Linked DNA regions of Struthio camelus. The protein of the gene in region 2 interacts with the protein of the main gene of each other region in a pairwise test. Links are inferred from orthologs where the notes say so. Each region holds a gene or a part of one and is shown on either strand. Other genes may lie near its edges.

Evidence for each region. The genes of interacting proteins can lie anywhere in the genome.
Region 1: the proteins of RFX6 (region 2) and FRS3 interact in binary tests that used the Homo sapiens proteins (3 or more experiments, as listed by UniProt). The two-hybrid records come from large-scale screens. The link is inferred for Struthio camelus from reciprocal best matches to the Homo sapiens genes RFX6 and FRS3.

The regions. Positions count from the first base shown.
Region 1 is NC_090965.1:6,317,276-6,325,365, reverse strand, and holds the start of FRS3 (fibroblast growth factor receptor substrate 3), read left to right. Parts: upstream 1-5,047; 5' UTR 5,048-5,176; intron 5,177-5,835; exon of another isoform or gene 5,836-5,939; intron 5,940-8,068; 5' UTR 8,069-8,090. Other genes in the region: PRICKLE4 (prickle-like protein 4), read right to left, coding at 1,130-1,198. UniProt on the Homo sapiens protein: Adapter protein that links FGF and NGF receptors to downstream signaling pathways. Involved in the activation of MAP kinases. Down-regulates ERK2 signaling by interfering with the phosphorylation and nuclear translocation of ERK2.
Region 2 is NC_090944.1:64,350,162-64,357,766, forward strand, and holds the start of RFX6 (DNA-binding protein RFX6), read left to right. Parts: upstream 1-4,601; coding exon 4,602-4,800; intron 4,801-5,076; coding exon 5,077-5,233; intron 5,234-7,058; coding exon 7,059-7,182; intron 7,183-7,605. UniProt on the Homo sapiens protein: Transcription factor required to direct islet cell differentiation during endocrine pancreas development. Specifically required for the differentiation of 4 of the 5 islet cell types and for the production of insulin.

The sequences.
Region 1 (8,090 bases), on a different chromosome or scaffold from region 2:
AGCAGAGAGGGCAGGGCCCTGGCTGCCGGGAAGCGGTGGGGCCGCGCTGGAGAGCCCAGCCCGGCTTGGCTTGATGCGATTACGCGGACGGGCAGCCGTCTGGGCTGCCGACAATTCCCTGTAATTAGCAGCAGACGGTGACAGCGGGAAGCGTCTCCCATGCTAAGGAGCCGGGCAGCTCCAGCAGGTCGGGCTCCTCCGCTCCCTGTCCCGGCCAGGGGACACCGGCGCGGCCCCTGCGCTCCCGGACGGGCCGTCCCAGCGCGTCTCCCACCCGCTGCCGCCCTCGGACCCCTGCAGCGTTTGCAAGGCTGCAAACAGCTTTTGGGCTCCCGGGTCCTGCTCTTGGCGCTGCCTTGCTCCGCGGCCCTGGAGGATTTCCTTTCCTGCTCCGAGCGCGTTTCCCACAATAGTTACAGCCCTTTGTGAAGCAGTCGCAGTTCCCGGGGTTAAAGAGGCTGAATTCACAGGGATTTGCTTTCCGGGTGCAGCCCCAGCCCCGGCTGGCAGCAGGAGCACGCGCGGGCTCCCAGCCCTCTCCTGCCAAGGTCGCAACATTAACTTGCAGTACAGCCGCCCTGGCCCATTCGCATGCAGCACAGCCTCCTCGTTTCCCGGCTCCCAACACAGACCACGTCTAATCTGCGTCTCTGCTGCAGCCTTTGGTTTTCCAGAGTCACCTCTTTCGCAGCAGCACCAAACCCTCCTCAGCTCTGCGACCACGAGGAAGTGCGATCGCTCGCCATCACCAAGAAGGCCAGATCCCATTGCAAGCACCCGAAAACGCTGGCAGCTTTTGGGCACGGAGCCGTGCATGCAACACCTCACCCACGCGGTAACCCAGTTTTGCTACAGGTCCTGTCAACACAGCTGCAACGAAGGTGCTTGGAAAGAAAGATGCAGCACAGGAAAGGTGCATCTCTCTTTTGGGGTGAGAGGAGCTGAGGTCTGGCAAGGCGAGCGCCAGCAGCTAATCCTGCCGCGCGACCGAGCCCGGCCAGCCCAGCCGGAGTCTCCGTCTCGCGTAGGCACCTGCTTTGGGACCGCGTCGCTGGAGGAGACCTTGGCCAACGCCATGGCCCGTTTGCTCCCGAGGGGACGCACCAGTGCTGCAAAGGGCTTTTCTTACTGCGTTTTCCCTGCGCTGAGGGTGCAGGCACGTCCGGTTGCCCCGTCCCGGTGAGGAGCAGTAACCCATTAACCTGCTGTAACTCAGTCATTCGTAGATCCGCGATGGGAATGGAGACCTGCCTCGCCCCCGCAGCCCCGGGGTTTGATCCCGGCGGAGCAGCGCTGGCTTCGGCCGCGGCTCCCCCGCCGGCACGACGTCCCCCGTGGGGACCCCTCGGCGGGGCGTGCTGGGTGCTGCCGCCGGCCGGAGGGCTTTCCGGACGCGGGAGCCGAGGGAAAGCCCTGCCTCGGCGTGCATCCACCTGCGTGCCCAGGGGTGCGCGAGCCCAGAGCGGCCGAGATCTGGCGGCGATAGGGCAGGCGCCGTCTCGTGCTCTCCGGGGACGTTTGCCGCAGACAAAGACCGCGGGGGTGGAGGGGGCAGCGATACTATTTTGCTTCCCCCAGTTCATTTTTCCCGCAGAGGAACCAGCCAAAATCTCTCCCAAATTCAGTTTTTCCCCCGCTTCCCTTGTCTTCCCATTTGCAACAGTCCCCAGGTGGGGAATCAGCCCGTTTCCCCTGCTTGCCCAACGTTTTCTCCTCCGGTTCGAGCTCCGCCGGCGCGCCTCCCTCCCTTCCAGCCGCCCCCAGGAAGGGCCTCGGCAGCGCGAGAAAAACCTTGGAGACAGCCGCGCGGCTCCCCTACCTGCGCCGGCTCCGCCGCCCGCTCCGGCCGGGCTCCGGCCACGGTGCCGCGCGCTCCGGCGGCCCTCGACGCTCGCCGGCCCGGCTCGCCCTACCTGCTCCGGCGGAGACGCGGGAAGCGCGGCTGAGGCTGAGCAGGGGGAAGCTTTGCAAAGCGAAAGGAAAACATCCGAGCTGAGTTAGGGAAACAATTTTTTTTTTTTTTTTTAATCTGCCTGCCCAGGAAACTGGATCTGTGTCAGCTGGGGTCCTAATTACAGGCTTTTTAGCCTAAACCTACAGAGACAGCCAATGGCAGGGAATCCCAGCAGCAGGCGGGGAGGGGAAGAGCGCAGGCTGGCGGGGGGGGGGCACGTTAACCCTCCAGGGGAACGAGCGCTCGATGACATCTGTTTTTCTCGCCGCCTCTCATTTTCCGAGCGTCCGCGCCCTTCCCTCCGTCCGTGGCTCAGTTCACCCCAGGTTGCCGTTCTGATGACTTTTATGATCCGCCGTGCTTTGTTTTCCTACCTAGATCAGAAAGAGTTGGAGCTGCATGAAAGAGGGGAAGTGCCATCACGCCCCAGTTTAGAGGTGGAGAGGCTTTGGCTGGGCTGGTGCAAAGGAGCTGGCCAGAGGCAAGGCAGGATGTCCTAGTTTTCTCAAGCCCTGAACACCTGACATGTCTCCGAAAAGCCGTTTAGACCGGCTTCAGCTGCAGCAATTGCACTGGGGCGAGAATGGGGGTGAACTTTATCGGACTTTCCGAAACCTGCCTTTCGGGGTAGGTTGTTTTTCCGCGTTTCCATGCACCATGGGATTTTTCCAGCCTGCTGCCGTGGCCGGAGGGACGGGCACAGCGACCCACCTCTGCGGGGACGCTCGCTGCCCGGGGCTGTGCCTTGGCTTGGGGCTCCACCGGCAGCTTCTGGGGGGTGGGAATTGCCTGGGTCTCCGTGGGATGGGCTCTGGGTGCATCTCACCGGGAAAGCAAGGGGAAGCTGTCAAAGGATGCTACCGCGCTCCCGCGGCAGTGCTGCTAGGAGAGGGCGTACGGGGCAGGTGTCTGTGCGTGGGTTATTGCAGCGGGTCTATAACGTTTTATATCTTCCCAGCCTGCAAAATCACCCGGGCAGGGAAAAGGAGAAGGGGGCTCCTCTCCGCACACCGCCTCTGTCCGCTCCCCCGCGGAGGCATCCCATCCAGGCTGCTCCCGAGGGAGCCTTTAAGGGGAAGTTAATCCGCGGCGCGTGGGGTTGGCGGCAGGCTGGGCTCAGCAGCTTTATCTCGGCCGTTCGCCGTTTCGGACTTTGGACCACCGGGCGGCAGGGCCCCTCCAGCGGGCGCCGCGCGCTGCAACGCTGCCGCTGCGTCGCGCTCCGTCAGCCACGCGCGCGGCGGAAAGAAAAGTACTGCAGTAACGCTCCAGTCCTCTTTGCGGGACCAGCTGGGCAAAGGGGGGTCAGGCTCAGCAGACGCTCAGGGCCTGCCCGGGCGGCACCGGGCTCTGCTCGACCCGAGCTGCCACCCTGGAAATTGCACGAGGCCCCCGCGGGCGTCACGCCAACGCGCGCCCGGGAAGCAGGGGAGGATGCTGGCCCCCCCGAGATCCTCCCTGCCGCTCAGCCGATGCGGAGCAACCTGCGGGGTCCCCACCTAAAACAGAGCGGGTTGGCGAAACCATCGCTCCCCAGCTTTGCACTGGGGCAGACTGGGAGCGCTGGAGCGTCTCGGCTGGGGAGCAGCAGCTGGAGCCCGGGACGTAACCGCAGCTGCTGCAAACGGGCAGCAGCTCCGCACGACGACAGCTCAAGCGGGGACTTGGATTGCAGAGCCATCTTCAACCCAGCTCAACTTTCCTTGTCGTCCCGGGCCCCAGCGCACCCCAACACGGGCCGTTGCGGGACCCCAAAACCGTGCTCGCCTGCAAATCGCAGTCCGAGCGGCCAGAGGGAAAAGCAGGACCGCACGGGCACGTGCTTTGCCGGGCTGCACTGGAATAGCACACGATCCCTCCCGGTTTCCCCCGTGCCCGGCAGCGTGCCGGGGCCTTGCATGTGCGCTGAGCCCCTTCGGAAGAGGCGCGTCCAGCCCGGGCCTCGCCGCCGGCCCCGCGGAGGTGCCTTGAAGGCGCTGGGCAGCGGGGCTGGAGACGTGGCACGCCGAGCCACCGGTACCGCGGCCCCCGGGCAAACGGGTCCCCCCGCGGGACGGGGCGGCAAGGGGCACGGGAGGCTGCGGGGTGCAGGCGCTCTCCTGCCTCCCAGCACCTCCTCCTGCCCCACTGACCCCCCAGCAACCCCTCCTGCCCCCCTGACCCCCCCTCCTGCCCCCCTGCCTCCCTCCTGCCCCACTGACCCCCCAGCACCCCCCTCCTGCCCTCCTGCACCCCCTCCTGCCTCCCAGCACCCCTCCTGCCCCCCTGCATCCCCTCCTGCCCCCCTGCATCCCCTCCTGCTTCACTGACCTCTCCAGCACCCTCTCCTGCCCCATTGACCCCCCAGCAACTCCCTCCTGCACCCCCTCCTGCCCCACTGACCCCTCCTGCACCCCCTCCTGCCCCATTGACCCCCAGCACTCCCTCCTGCCCCCCTGCATCCCCTCCTGCCCCACTGACCCCTCCAGCACCCCCTCCTGCCCCCGTACCCCCTCCTGCCCCACTGACCCCTCCTGCACCCCCTCCTGCCCCATTGACCCCCAGCACTCCCTCCTGCCCCCCTGCATCCCCTCCTGCCCCACTGACCCCTCCAGCACCCCCTCCTGCCCCCGTACCCCCTCCTGCCCCACTGACCCCCCTGCATCCCCTCCTGCCCCCCTATACCCCCTCCTGCCCCATTGACCCCCAGCACCCCCTCCTGCCCCCCTGTACCCCCTCCTGCCCCACTGACCCCTCCAGCACCCCTCCTGCCCTACTGACCCCACTCCAAGCACCTCTTCCTGTCCCACCCCTCTGCCCCCGCCAGCAACCCCGCCTGCCCTACTGCCTCTCCTGGCCCCGCCCCCACCCCGCCCTAGCCCCGCCCTCACCCACTCGAGCTCCGCCCCCGCTGCCTAGGCCCCGCCCCCAGCCCGGCCGACTCGCCGCGGGCCTCGCGCGCCCCCTCGCGGCCGCGCGCTGCCTTGCTGGGTCCTCCCAGCCGGAGACGCTCTAGGCGGCGGCCGGCGGACTCGCTGCTCCCGGCGGGCCCCGGCCCGGGCTGGGGGGACGCGGCGGTGGCGGGGCCCGACCCGGACCCGGTCCCGGTCCCGGACCCGGTCCCGGACCCGGCGGACTGGGCAGGGCACGGGCCGGGCCGGGGCCGGCTGGCAAGCGGGGGCCGGCGTAGCGCGCCGGGCCCGGCCCTCGGTTCCCGGACGGCGGAGCCGGGCAGCGCCTCAGGTACCGACCCCGGCCTGGGCCCGGGCCCGGCCCCGCCACCTCTTCCCGGGGGGCCCTGCCCCATTGCCCCCCCATTGTCCCCTTGCCCTTCCCCCCCGGTGCCCCCCTACCCCGCTGCCTCCTTGCCCCCCTGCACACCCTCCCTTTCCACTGCGCCCCCTTCCCCCCGCTGCCCCCCCCCTTGCGCAGCCCCCTCTATACCCCACTTGCCCCATCGCTCCCTCGCACCCCCTTGCCCGCCGCCCCCTCGCACAGCCCCGTGCCCTCCCACCCCCTCCCCACGACCCTGCGGGCCCCTTCCTCGCCCCCAGCTCTCGCACCCCCCTCCTTACGGCAGCCCCTCTCGCCCCAGAGGTGCCCTGCTGCAGCGGGACGGGGTACGCTTGCAGCCCCTTTCGTCCTCCCTAACCCCCATACGGGTGGCTGCTGGGGGAGGCAGCGGGTCTGTCCATACTGGGCATCAGAAGGGCGCTTGTGGGGAGCCGGGTGCGTGCGCACGCAAAGCATCCTCGTGAAATGCGATCAGTGTGGGTTTCCCCCCCCCCCGCCATGCGCTTTGCTCCCGGTGCCAGCGGGACTGGGGTGCTTGGAGCAGGTGCCTGGGTCACCTGGGGTTAGACGGACCCTCTTCTGCGTCGCTAGGTGTAAGACAATTGAGCACAGGGGCATGGAAGGGGCTTCTGCAGGCTTGGAGGTGCGGAGGGCGTCTCTCCGTAGAAGTTTCGCAAGGAGAGCGAGCAACCTGGCTATGAAATAGGAAGAGGTGAGCTCTGGTTCGGAGAGCGGACTGAAGAGAGGTGTGAAGACTTCTAGGAGGGTTTAGGTTTGGGTCCTGTAGCTTGGGAGGGGAATGGGACTGCTGATCTTGGGAGGCACGTGCTCTCGCTTTTGGAGAAGCGTATGGTGCTGTTAGTATATTTGGTTCAAGTCATAAAGGTTTTGAAGTTGCAAACGCAGCCATCAGAAAGGTGTGTGTTGAAAGCGCTGAGCAGGGGACTGGAGCCTTGAGACTCTCGGTATTTGTATGAAAGGGATGCAGCTAAAATAATTCAAGAGTGAGGAGCAGCTGAAAGTATGAAGGGAGTCCTTGGGGATTTCACTATGTTTTTTTCTCATTTATTCAGTTCTGACCGTAATAACAATTCAGGGTAGGCCACAGCACTCCTTCCTAAACCCGTTGCAGGTTAGACAGGTGAGGGGTGAAGGAAGCACCAGAGGGGGAGAGGAATAAAGAAGGAAGAGGGGGCAAAGGTAACATGTTTTGTGCAAGATATTTTTTACCAAGGGAATTGATAAGGTGGAGAACAAGGCCCCTAGTGACCAGATTAGATGAAACAGAGCAGTCTGTTGCTAAATTATTGATGAAAACTTGTAAAGTCAGCTGGGAGTAAATCCATACTGACTCTAGAAAAACAAATAGGACAACTTGAACAGGATGCTCTGTTGAACAGGGAGCGCGTGGCATCGTTATGATTGGGGTGACTGGTGTGTGCGAAAAGGCAGGCAGCCAGTTGATTTGGGATGAAGCTCCTCCAACTTGCTCAGAAGGAAGTCAACAGGTTCTGGAGGACTTTGAAGGATTAGGACAGAGTTGGGAATTCTTCAGGGGTCAAAGTTAGGGCAGTATGATGTGGAATTGCCATGGAAGGTCATTTAGATCGTGTTTTGGAGCAAAAAATGAAACGGGGGTCCTTGGTCAGCTCCCTGCCAGCTCTGCCCCATGCCTTCACGACACTGTGCAGTTACGCGGCACGCTGTCTGGAAGTCTGAGGGCAGTTTGTGTAATGTGGTTTTGCACACAGATACAACTCCATGATTCATTGTTTAATTTGGAGCGACTGGTGAGGCAGACTCTGGCATGCCAGAGTGAGAGATTTCCAATAGCCTTTTCATTTTACTTACTGTTGTAGTGCCAGGCTGGTTATCCATATGGCTTTCTCCTCTCACGCCTCAGATGGAGAGATCATTCGGTATTCTTGCCAAATAAAGCATGGCATCCTGTTGTATTATCTGCTGCTGATTCTAGCGCCTTAGAGTTGACACGAAGTTTGTTAAGACTGCGTCAGAGATACAAACGCTAGTAGTAAGAAAAACTGGTAACTCCTGCGTGCTTGCACTCTCTGAAAAAGACTAGATAACTGTGCCTTTTTATTTTCTGGCATTTGTTCCTTTTCATAGTTCAACATACAACAGCTGTTGTGTTCGTTTGCTTTTAAGGCTGCTTGTTCTCTGACCCTTAAGGACCGTCCATCTAATGACGATGTCTTCACGTTCCTAAGCAGCAGATGCATGCGATTTCTCACATCCTTAAAGCCATCTGCCATTCAGTATTATTGTTGTATTTTATTTGTATTACGGTACCTCTGATAAACTGCACTCCTGGATAGGATCTTCAAAGTCAAGAAGTAAAATAGCTCTTATTTTTAGGTGTGTGTGTGTGTGTGTTTGTTTGTTTGTTTAGCCAAAGACTGCATATTTTCAGAAGTTACATCTTTGAAAATACTTTGCAGACTTTGCCCATTGGGCTGCAAATGGTTTCAGGTGCTGCGAGTGTCTGTACTGAGTTCTTGATGACATATGTTTGCTAGAAAATGGGCACAAACGGTGATGAAGATTAAGTCTCACTAGCTGTGCAAAATCAGTGCAAGTGTGCATCTGAACACGTGATGTCTGTGTTTGATGTGCTGTGTGTTTTAGGAGTGGTCTATGCAAAATTATTTTCTGTGTTCATTTAAATGCAGGTAGTTAATTTAAAAAATGTACGCTTTCCTTCCGTGTGGTATTTGAGGGAGATTCCGTGACACCTCTCCCCTCCCCATTTCCTGTTGTTATTCTCTGTCTTTTATCTGTTGATCTATCTGTTGATCTATTTAATTGTATTCTTCTTGTCAGGTAGAAGATGGGGCGGTTTCCC
Region 2 (7,605 bases):
GTTGAGCCTGGAGAAGAGAAGACTGACAGGCGATCTCATCAACGTATACAAATATCTAAAGGTAAGGTGTCCAGAGAATGGGTCCAGACTCTTCTCCATGCAGAAGGACAAGCAACAGGACAAGAGGCAATGGGCAGAAACTGAAACACAGGAAGTTCCATCTGAACCTGAGAAAAAACTTCTTTGCTGTGAGGGTGCCTGAGCCCTGGAACAGGCTGCCCAGAGAGGTAGTGGAGTCTCCTTCCCTGGAGATATTCAAAACCCATCTGGATGTGATCCTGGGAAATATGCTCCAGAGGACCCTGCTTGAGGAGGGGGTTGGACTAGATGATCTCCAGAGGTCCCTTCCAACCTCAGCCATTCTTTTTAAATATCTACATTTATGCAAAATATGAACTAACATGGTCTAAAACTACTGCTTCTTTGGCTTCTAAGTCACCTATAGAACATCTACCCATAATCAGCTAAATGCAATAGGATATTCCCTTCCCATCTGCTGCATTATTTGCTGAATGTTGCTATGCTCAGATTTGTCCACAGCGCAGGGAGAGATGCAGTCCATGCTGCAGAAGTCCAGGAGTCTGTCCTTTTAACCACATAGAGGCTATAGGTGGACAATAGCTTAAAACATGAGTTAGATTCTGAAGATTTGTTTTTAGCATGAAATTCATTTTGAAAATTTTGGTTTAAAAGTTCAGAAATGTGTTTGCTCTAAATGACTCAGAGCACTTTTCTAGACACAATATGAGCCTTGGAAGAGAGTACTAGGGTAAGAATGGTAAGAGATAATGAAAGCTGCATGTTTTCTTTATGAGAAATACAGTACATTTCCATCAGGTCGGATGTTTATGAGATTACAACAAACAAAAGACAACTAGTAGTTAAGTTCTGGAGGTAAAAAGTATAGCACACAGTGTGCTAGTCGTTTTGTAAGAGTCTTCTTCAGTTGTCTTAAATCAACGTTTCCCAGCAGGCAGGAGCAACCACTTCTCACGTTTAAGGTCCAGTAAAGGGAAAGTGGAGCTGCAATGCTTTGCTTATGTTGGAATAAGTGCTTCAGAATGCATTAGCAAGAGAAGTGTGCTGCAGGGAAGAGAGGTAAATAAACAAAAATGATTACAAAGATGTCACAGGAGGCAGTGTTGAAGCACAGAATCTCTGGCTCAACAGACTCTGGTAAATGGACTTGAAAATTTAAGCCGTGTGGTACACACAGAGTGCTAGGAACTGGATGGAAGCAGGAATGGTTTGAGAAAAGGCAACGAGGGCTGGGATAAGTAAGATAAACATGAAGGCCAAAGTAAAGGCAATTGTTTTTTTAGGAAGTTTACAAAACCTTGGCAGCCTCCCATGAATGGGAAAAAGCAAAGAAAATTACTTGGAGACTGCAAGCTTGTGGGCAACTACCTGAGCTTCTTGGCTTGGGTTGGCAGTCCATGTTGGCAGTTCCATGATGCCACTAAAACACCACAGGTGTACCATGCAGGTACCAGAAATGGGAAATTTACTCTGAGAAATCCCTGACTACGAAGCACGACTTACTGGCTACAGAATAAATATACTCTGAGGAATGGAAAAGAAATCTTCCGTGGCAATACAAAAGGAGAAAGAGGAAAGGTATGTTCAGTTTCCACTTTGCTGATTAAAGCACTGTTAGAAAAAAAGATTGAGCCTGCTGGGAGAAAGGAAAAGGATGTTGAAAGATCCTTTCACCAACAGCAAAGTAATGGCAATAGAAATGATGAGATTACTGCCAAAACTATCAAAAGTATTAGGAGGCAGGAGCAAATTGGAAAATGCAATGAGAACTCGTACAGTCAATTTAATTTTACTGGTTGTTTTTTATTAATGAAATGACAACGAATCAGAGAGGAGATATGATAACTGTCCTGAAATGCTTAAAAACTGATGAAAATAGAACAAGAGTAATCTTTTCTCCATGTTCTCAGATAGACAGAAAAGAGAAGCAATGGACTCAAACTGAAGTGAGTTTGTTAGACACTAGCAAACCTTTTTTACAGATAGACTAATAAATGATCTGGGAATGATGGCACTCTCCATCACTGGAAATCTTTAAAAACAGGTGAGAGGCACAGTTTTGGGAATAATATAGGTATAACTATACCTACACATAATCCTGCCTTCGTTTTGTGGAAAAGGCTGAGATGATCTCTTCCGGACTTTTAAGTGTTTCAGCACTATATTCAGCACTCCTAAAATGGGACTGAACGAGAGAATGGGAGAATAAGGACAATAAAAAATTTCAGAAATGCCATCAGAAACAAACTAGCAGAGGATAAGATACAGAGCAGGCTGACCTGAACTGGAAGATATGTGCACACTGCCAAAAGGTTTTGCATATTGTAAACCTATGAGTAGGGAGACACACCTATCCCTCCTACCGATAGGTAGGAGGGACAGAAGCATAACGACAAGAGTTATAGGCTCAGCTGAGCAGCCATCGGTGTGAGTTTGCAAAGAGATCCAGTATCAATCTCATACTTCACATAAAGTAGATTATATAACAAAAGGATTTGTTTTATTGCTGTGAGTAAATAGTTCAGACTACCAGAATTTCCCTTCACTTGCCAGGATTATCTTTTATTACTTTCATTGTCAATGATTTCATACAGAACCTTGTTGAAACATTTTGTAACTACCTTTGTAGTTTATTAAAGAGCACTGCCACCAGAGGAGAATAATTTACATTTAATTTATTGCATGTCACTTATAAAAATTCTCACTTATTCCTATTAGTTATAGAATAGATATATTTGCTCCCATATTGTAGCACTGGATGAAATACTTGTTCTCATGCATACTTTGAACATTGTGCGTTTACTTAGGACCACCGGCCTATCTGCTTTTCTTTCTTTACTGCTGCAAACATATGCTTAGTTTTATACGAAGCTGGTAACAGCACACAGCAATCTTTCACTGGCTTTGAAAGAACAAGTAGATGACTGTTTGTATGAGCCAGAAAGGATTACTAAATCCAGGGAGAACTTCTATGCTCAAAAAAGCTCTTAAAATCATCATTAATTTTAGATAAAGCTAATTAAAGCAGTGCCTGGCCCTCAGAAGGGACAGGAAGGTACTACAAATGGCTGGTTACCCCAAGGTAGAAACCAGCTGGTCCCCGGACCAGACCCCTCCTTGAGTTAATCTCTGTGTTGATCGTGGCTGTAATTCTGTTAGTTTCAGTGGAGATATTCTGAAATAATAGCAAGGGAGAATCCTGCCCTTTCACAGGAAACATTACATTTATTTTCATATTGCCAGGAAAGACAATGGCACAGTAGATTCTTCTCAGAAAAGATTCAACACAATAATTAGTAGCTGGGAGGATTTACTATACAGAGGGGATACTGATCCCTGTCGGCCAGACCCTGAAGTATTCTGCTCAGTCAAAAGTCACAGAGAAGTCAGTCTCAAATGCAATTTTGCATAACCTCAGCACAACGATGCTGAAACCAGCTGAACTGGCCCAATGAGTTATGTTGAGAACTGATGTCCTGGTGAAGAATTTAGCGTCATATATGCAGTGAGAATACTACAGGGGACACGAGAAAAATAAAGAAATGTTTGAACGGAGCAACCAGTAAATTGTACATTGTAATGTGCGCTTGAACCTGTCCAGAGTTCTGAAAAGAATCTAGAAAATGCCATGCTTGCCAAAAAAGAAGAAAAAAAGAAAAAAGAAAGAAAAGAGGGGGCTAAAAAGAAAGGAATCCCCATTTTCAATGTCCTAAAACAGTCTTGATACCAGAGCAATCCTGCCGGCCCAGTGTATCCCCAAAGGCGCTCCCCTGCCAGCCATAGCCTTGAAAGGGTGCACGGCCCTTCAGGGGGAGTCCCCGACGGCCCCGGGCACAGCAGGCCTCGCTCTGCCCGCCATGGCCTCCTCCTCCATGGGGGGCTGTGACGAGGCTGCTGCCGTGAGGAGAGCCCCAACGGCCGCCCGCTGCCCTGGCCGCCGCCGCCGCGGCATGGCGGAGGAAGAGTTACTCCCTCACGCCAGCGGGAGCCGTCGCCGGCGGGAGTTAATCATTAAGTCCCCTGCAGGTCCGCTCCGGGGCCGGCTCCCCTGAACCTCCCGGGGCTTTTAACTACGCCCCGTCGCCCCCACCCCGCCGGCCAGGCGGGACCGGCCGACCGAGCTGCGGGGAGGCAGGCAGGGGACGGGAGGCCTCCCCGCTCCCGCCTGCCAGCGCCCTCCAGGCCCGCATCCGAGGCGGAGCCCCTCGGCGGGTGCGGGGGCAGCAGCGGGGAGGAGGGAGTGGCGCCGGGCCGGCCGCCGCTCCCCCCACGCGGCAGCCACGCCGCCTCCCCGGCAGGCGCCGTAGGGCACACCTGCCCCTCGCCGCCGTCGGCTCGCCTCTCCTCCCCTCACACTGCTGCCGTCGGCGCTCGGGCGGCAGGACCGCGGCCCCGCACAAGCGGCCTTGCGCCGCCCATGCCCGCGCCCTGAGGCCGCCGCCGCGCCCGCCCCGGCCCGGCCCGGCCCGGCCCGCCCCGGCCCGTCTCGTCGCCTGCCGCCTGCCGCCGCCCATGGGCGCCGCCTGCGCCGCGGCGGGGCAGGGCAGGAGCCGGTGAGCAGCATGGCCAAGGGGCCCGAGAGAGAGGACGCTTTCCTGCACCTGCCGGCCGCGCCGGCAGTTTCCCCCGGCGCCCAGGAGGACTGCTACGCGGAGCTGCTGGCCAGAGGCTTGCTGCCCTACGCCGAGGAGGGGCTGTGCGCCGCGGCGGGCGCCGAGAGGGGGCTCCCGCAGCCGGCGCTGCCCGCCGGCATCAAGTCAGGTAAGGGCGGGCCGCGTCCCGGCGGCGTGCCCTTGTCGCCCGCCAGCCAGCACGGGGCTGGGGCGGCGGGCGGCGAGCACGGGCGGCGCCAGGAGCCCGGGCGGGGCTGCTGCCGCCTGGGGAGGCGGCGGGGAGGTCGCGCCCGGAGGCAGCGGCGGGCAGGGCGCCGGTTCAACGGGCGCCCGGGGGGCGGCGAGGGCGCCGGGACGAGCCGCCGTGCCGAAGGACCGCCCTGACGCCCTTCGGTTCCTCTTCTTTTCCCTCCCTCCCGCCCAGAAATACGTTTTAACGGCGAAGTCCTCTCCTCGGAAGAGGAGGATGCAGACGCGCCCGACGGCAAACTAAAAGCCGCGGACAAGAGCCTGTCTCCGAAGAAGAGCATCACGCAGATCATGAAGGACAAGAAGAAGCAGACGCAGCTCACCCTGCAATGGTAGGGCTCCCGCCGCGGCGCTGCCCGCCCGCGGCCCCGCCGTGGTCCCGGCTGGCGGCGCCCCGCGCCCGCCGCCACCGCCGCCGCCGCCGCCTCGGGGCCGCTGGCCCGGCCGCGGAGCGGGGGCGCTCCTGGCTGCCCGTGTGTCGCCAGCCAGGTGAACCGGCCCGGCAGTTCGCACGCCGAAGCCCTTTGCATGCCGAAAGGGACGTCTGTGGAAAAACTGAGAAGACAAGACAAATTGCATCTCACGGTTCTTTTAGAAATAGTCGTCGTGTTTGTTTGTTTGCTTGATAAGTCTCATTTACAAATCAGAACCCTTACATTTCTATTTTTTAAAGAATTTTATTAGCAGAGGTTTATTTGTTTGCGTTAGCAGATCGGTCAGGAAGTGATGGTTCTCACAATACGTGGCCGTTGATGAAAGCTCAAACTTACTGAAGCATAAAGTCGCTAACTATCAGGTTATCGTACCTGAACATATAATCCACGTCTCTAAGGCAGAATTAAAATCAATGTAGTTTGTCTTCCTGCTTGTGCAGGAATACAATGTTAATTGATGTATATTATCAGCTAACTGAAAATCTTGCAAAATGTAGAAATGAAGCATTACTTAAGAATTAAATTCGTGAATGGATGTTTTTAGTTATCCTTTAAGGCTGTAATTGCTACTATTTCATGGTCTTATAAATGTGCTTTTTACATTGTGTTCTACCATCCATAGAAGTCCTAAATTTCACTTCATTTTATCTGGGCAAAAATTAACCAAACATGAGATCAAATTCTGCAGGCATTAGTTGGTAGAGGTTACTATTAAAGCATTCTTGACACTGGGGACCGGTACTATTGAATTAAATGGGAACTCCATTACAAAATGCAACCTGTAAATCTAGGTTTTTCCTTATAACTGAAAATAAAGAGTAGTCCAGATTTCCCATTTTCCCAGTCTAGTTTACATCTGATTTCTTAGAGCAGAGAGTAAATGCTAAGGAGTTGAATATGAGGAGTCAGTGCAAAAGTATTCCATATGCAGTGTTCACTACACAGTGTTCTCTTAAACATTTATGTATTTTGAGAAATAAATTTATTACACATCATTCCAGCAGTAGCAAATAATGGAAACTGATAAAGAAAAGAAACAAGGCAAGAAAGAAATATCCAGCCATTACCAGGAGTTCAGTTCAAGGAAGAATAACTAGATTTTAGTTCAGCTATTAAGATATCATTTTAATGACCATCAATAGGCACTTTTAAGTTGTAAACTGTTTGGGAAGCTGTATACAAAATGCATCCTCTTCAGAAAATGCCATTTCTTTGATTTGCAGTATGGTTTGGTCAAGAAACAGCTTCAGGTCCAATGTGAAAATTAAAAAGCAAAACTAGGAAGAAAAGAGACATTAGCCCTGGTGTTAGGATACAGTGGGACAGCAGATGCGCGTTCAAGCCTCAGCTCTATTCAAGCAATACACTTAAATCCAAGTCTTTTATAGTGTAGTTAATGTTCTTATTTTCAGTGCCAGGCTGGCTCTTAGACAGTGATCATTTAGTTATTTATGGAAAGCAAAAACATTCAGAAATTTTAAAAGACTGATTAAGAAGAGGTACCTGGCCCCAGTTTTTCCGTATTTTGCAGCTACCCTAACCACCAAGTGTGGAGTCAGTCTCTCTGTGTTGACTCTCTTGTTTAGTAGGAACTCACCTGTGTGCTGTCATGGAAATCTTCAGTAAAATGGAAAGAAAGGGCAGTTCCAAACAGCAGAAGGAAACTAAAATGGGGAGACATACCCTGTTGCTTCTTACTCTGGCAGACTCTTTTTCTATACAGGCTGGAAGAAAACTATATTGTATGTGAAGGAGTTTGTTTACCAAGATGCATCCTTTATGCACATTATTTAGACTTCTGCAGAAAAGAGAAGCTGGAACCTGCCTGTGCTGCAACTTTTGGGAAGGTAAAAAGTAAATGTCTTCATCATTTGTTAGACTAATTCTTTGATAATATCACATTCTAGTACGCTTCACATTCTAGTACACCTGTGTCATAGTGGCTCTCAAATTCATGTTTTCTATTGCTAATGCACATGTAATCAAACCAAACTACACTTTTACATATCAAGGGATTTCATGATGACAACTTTAGGAAAAAGAAAGTGAAGTTTCCTTTAATTTTCGGTGTGAAATAACAAAAAGGCATTCTCTCCCAGAGCTTTTATTTTACAGTGACATTGGTAAGGTTCTTTCTACAAAAACAGATCTGACATGGAGGACACTTTTAATTAAACTAAAGGCTGTGTGTAAATTGAGAAGGAACACAATGAGCAATACAAGAAGGGGAATAAAAATTAATAACACAAAGAGCCCCTGAATGAAAAAAT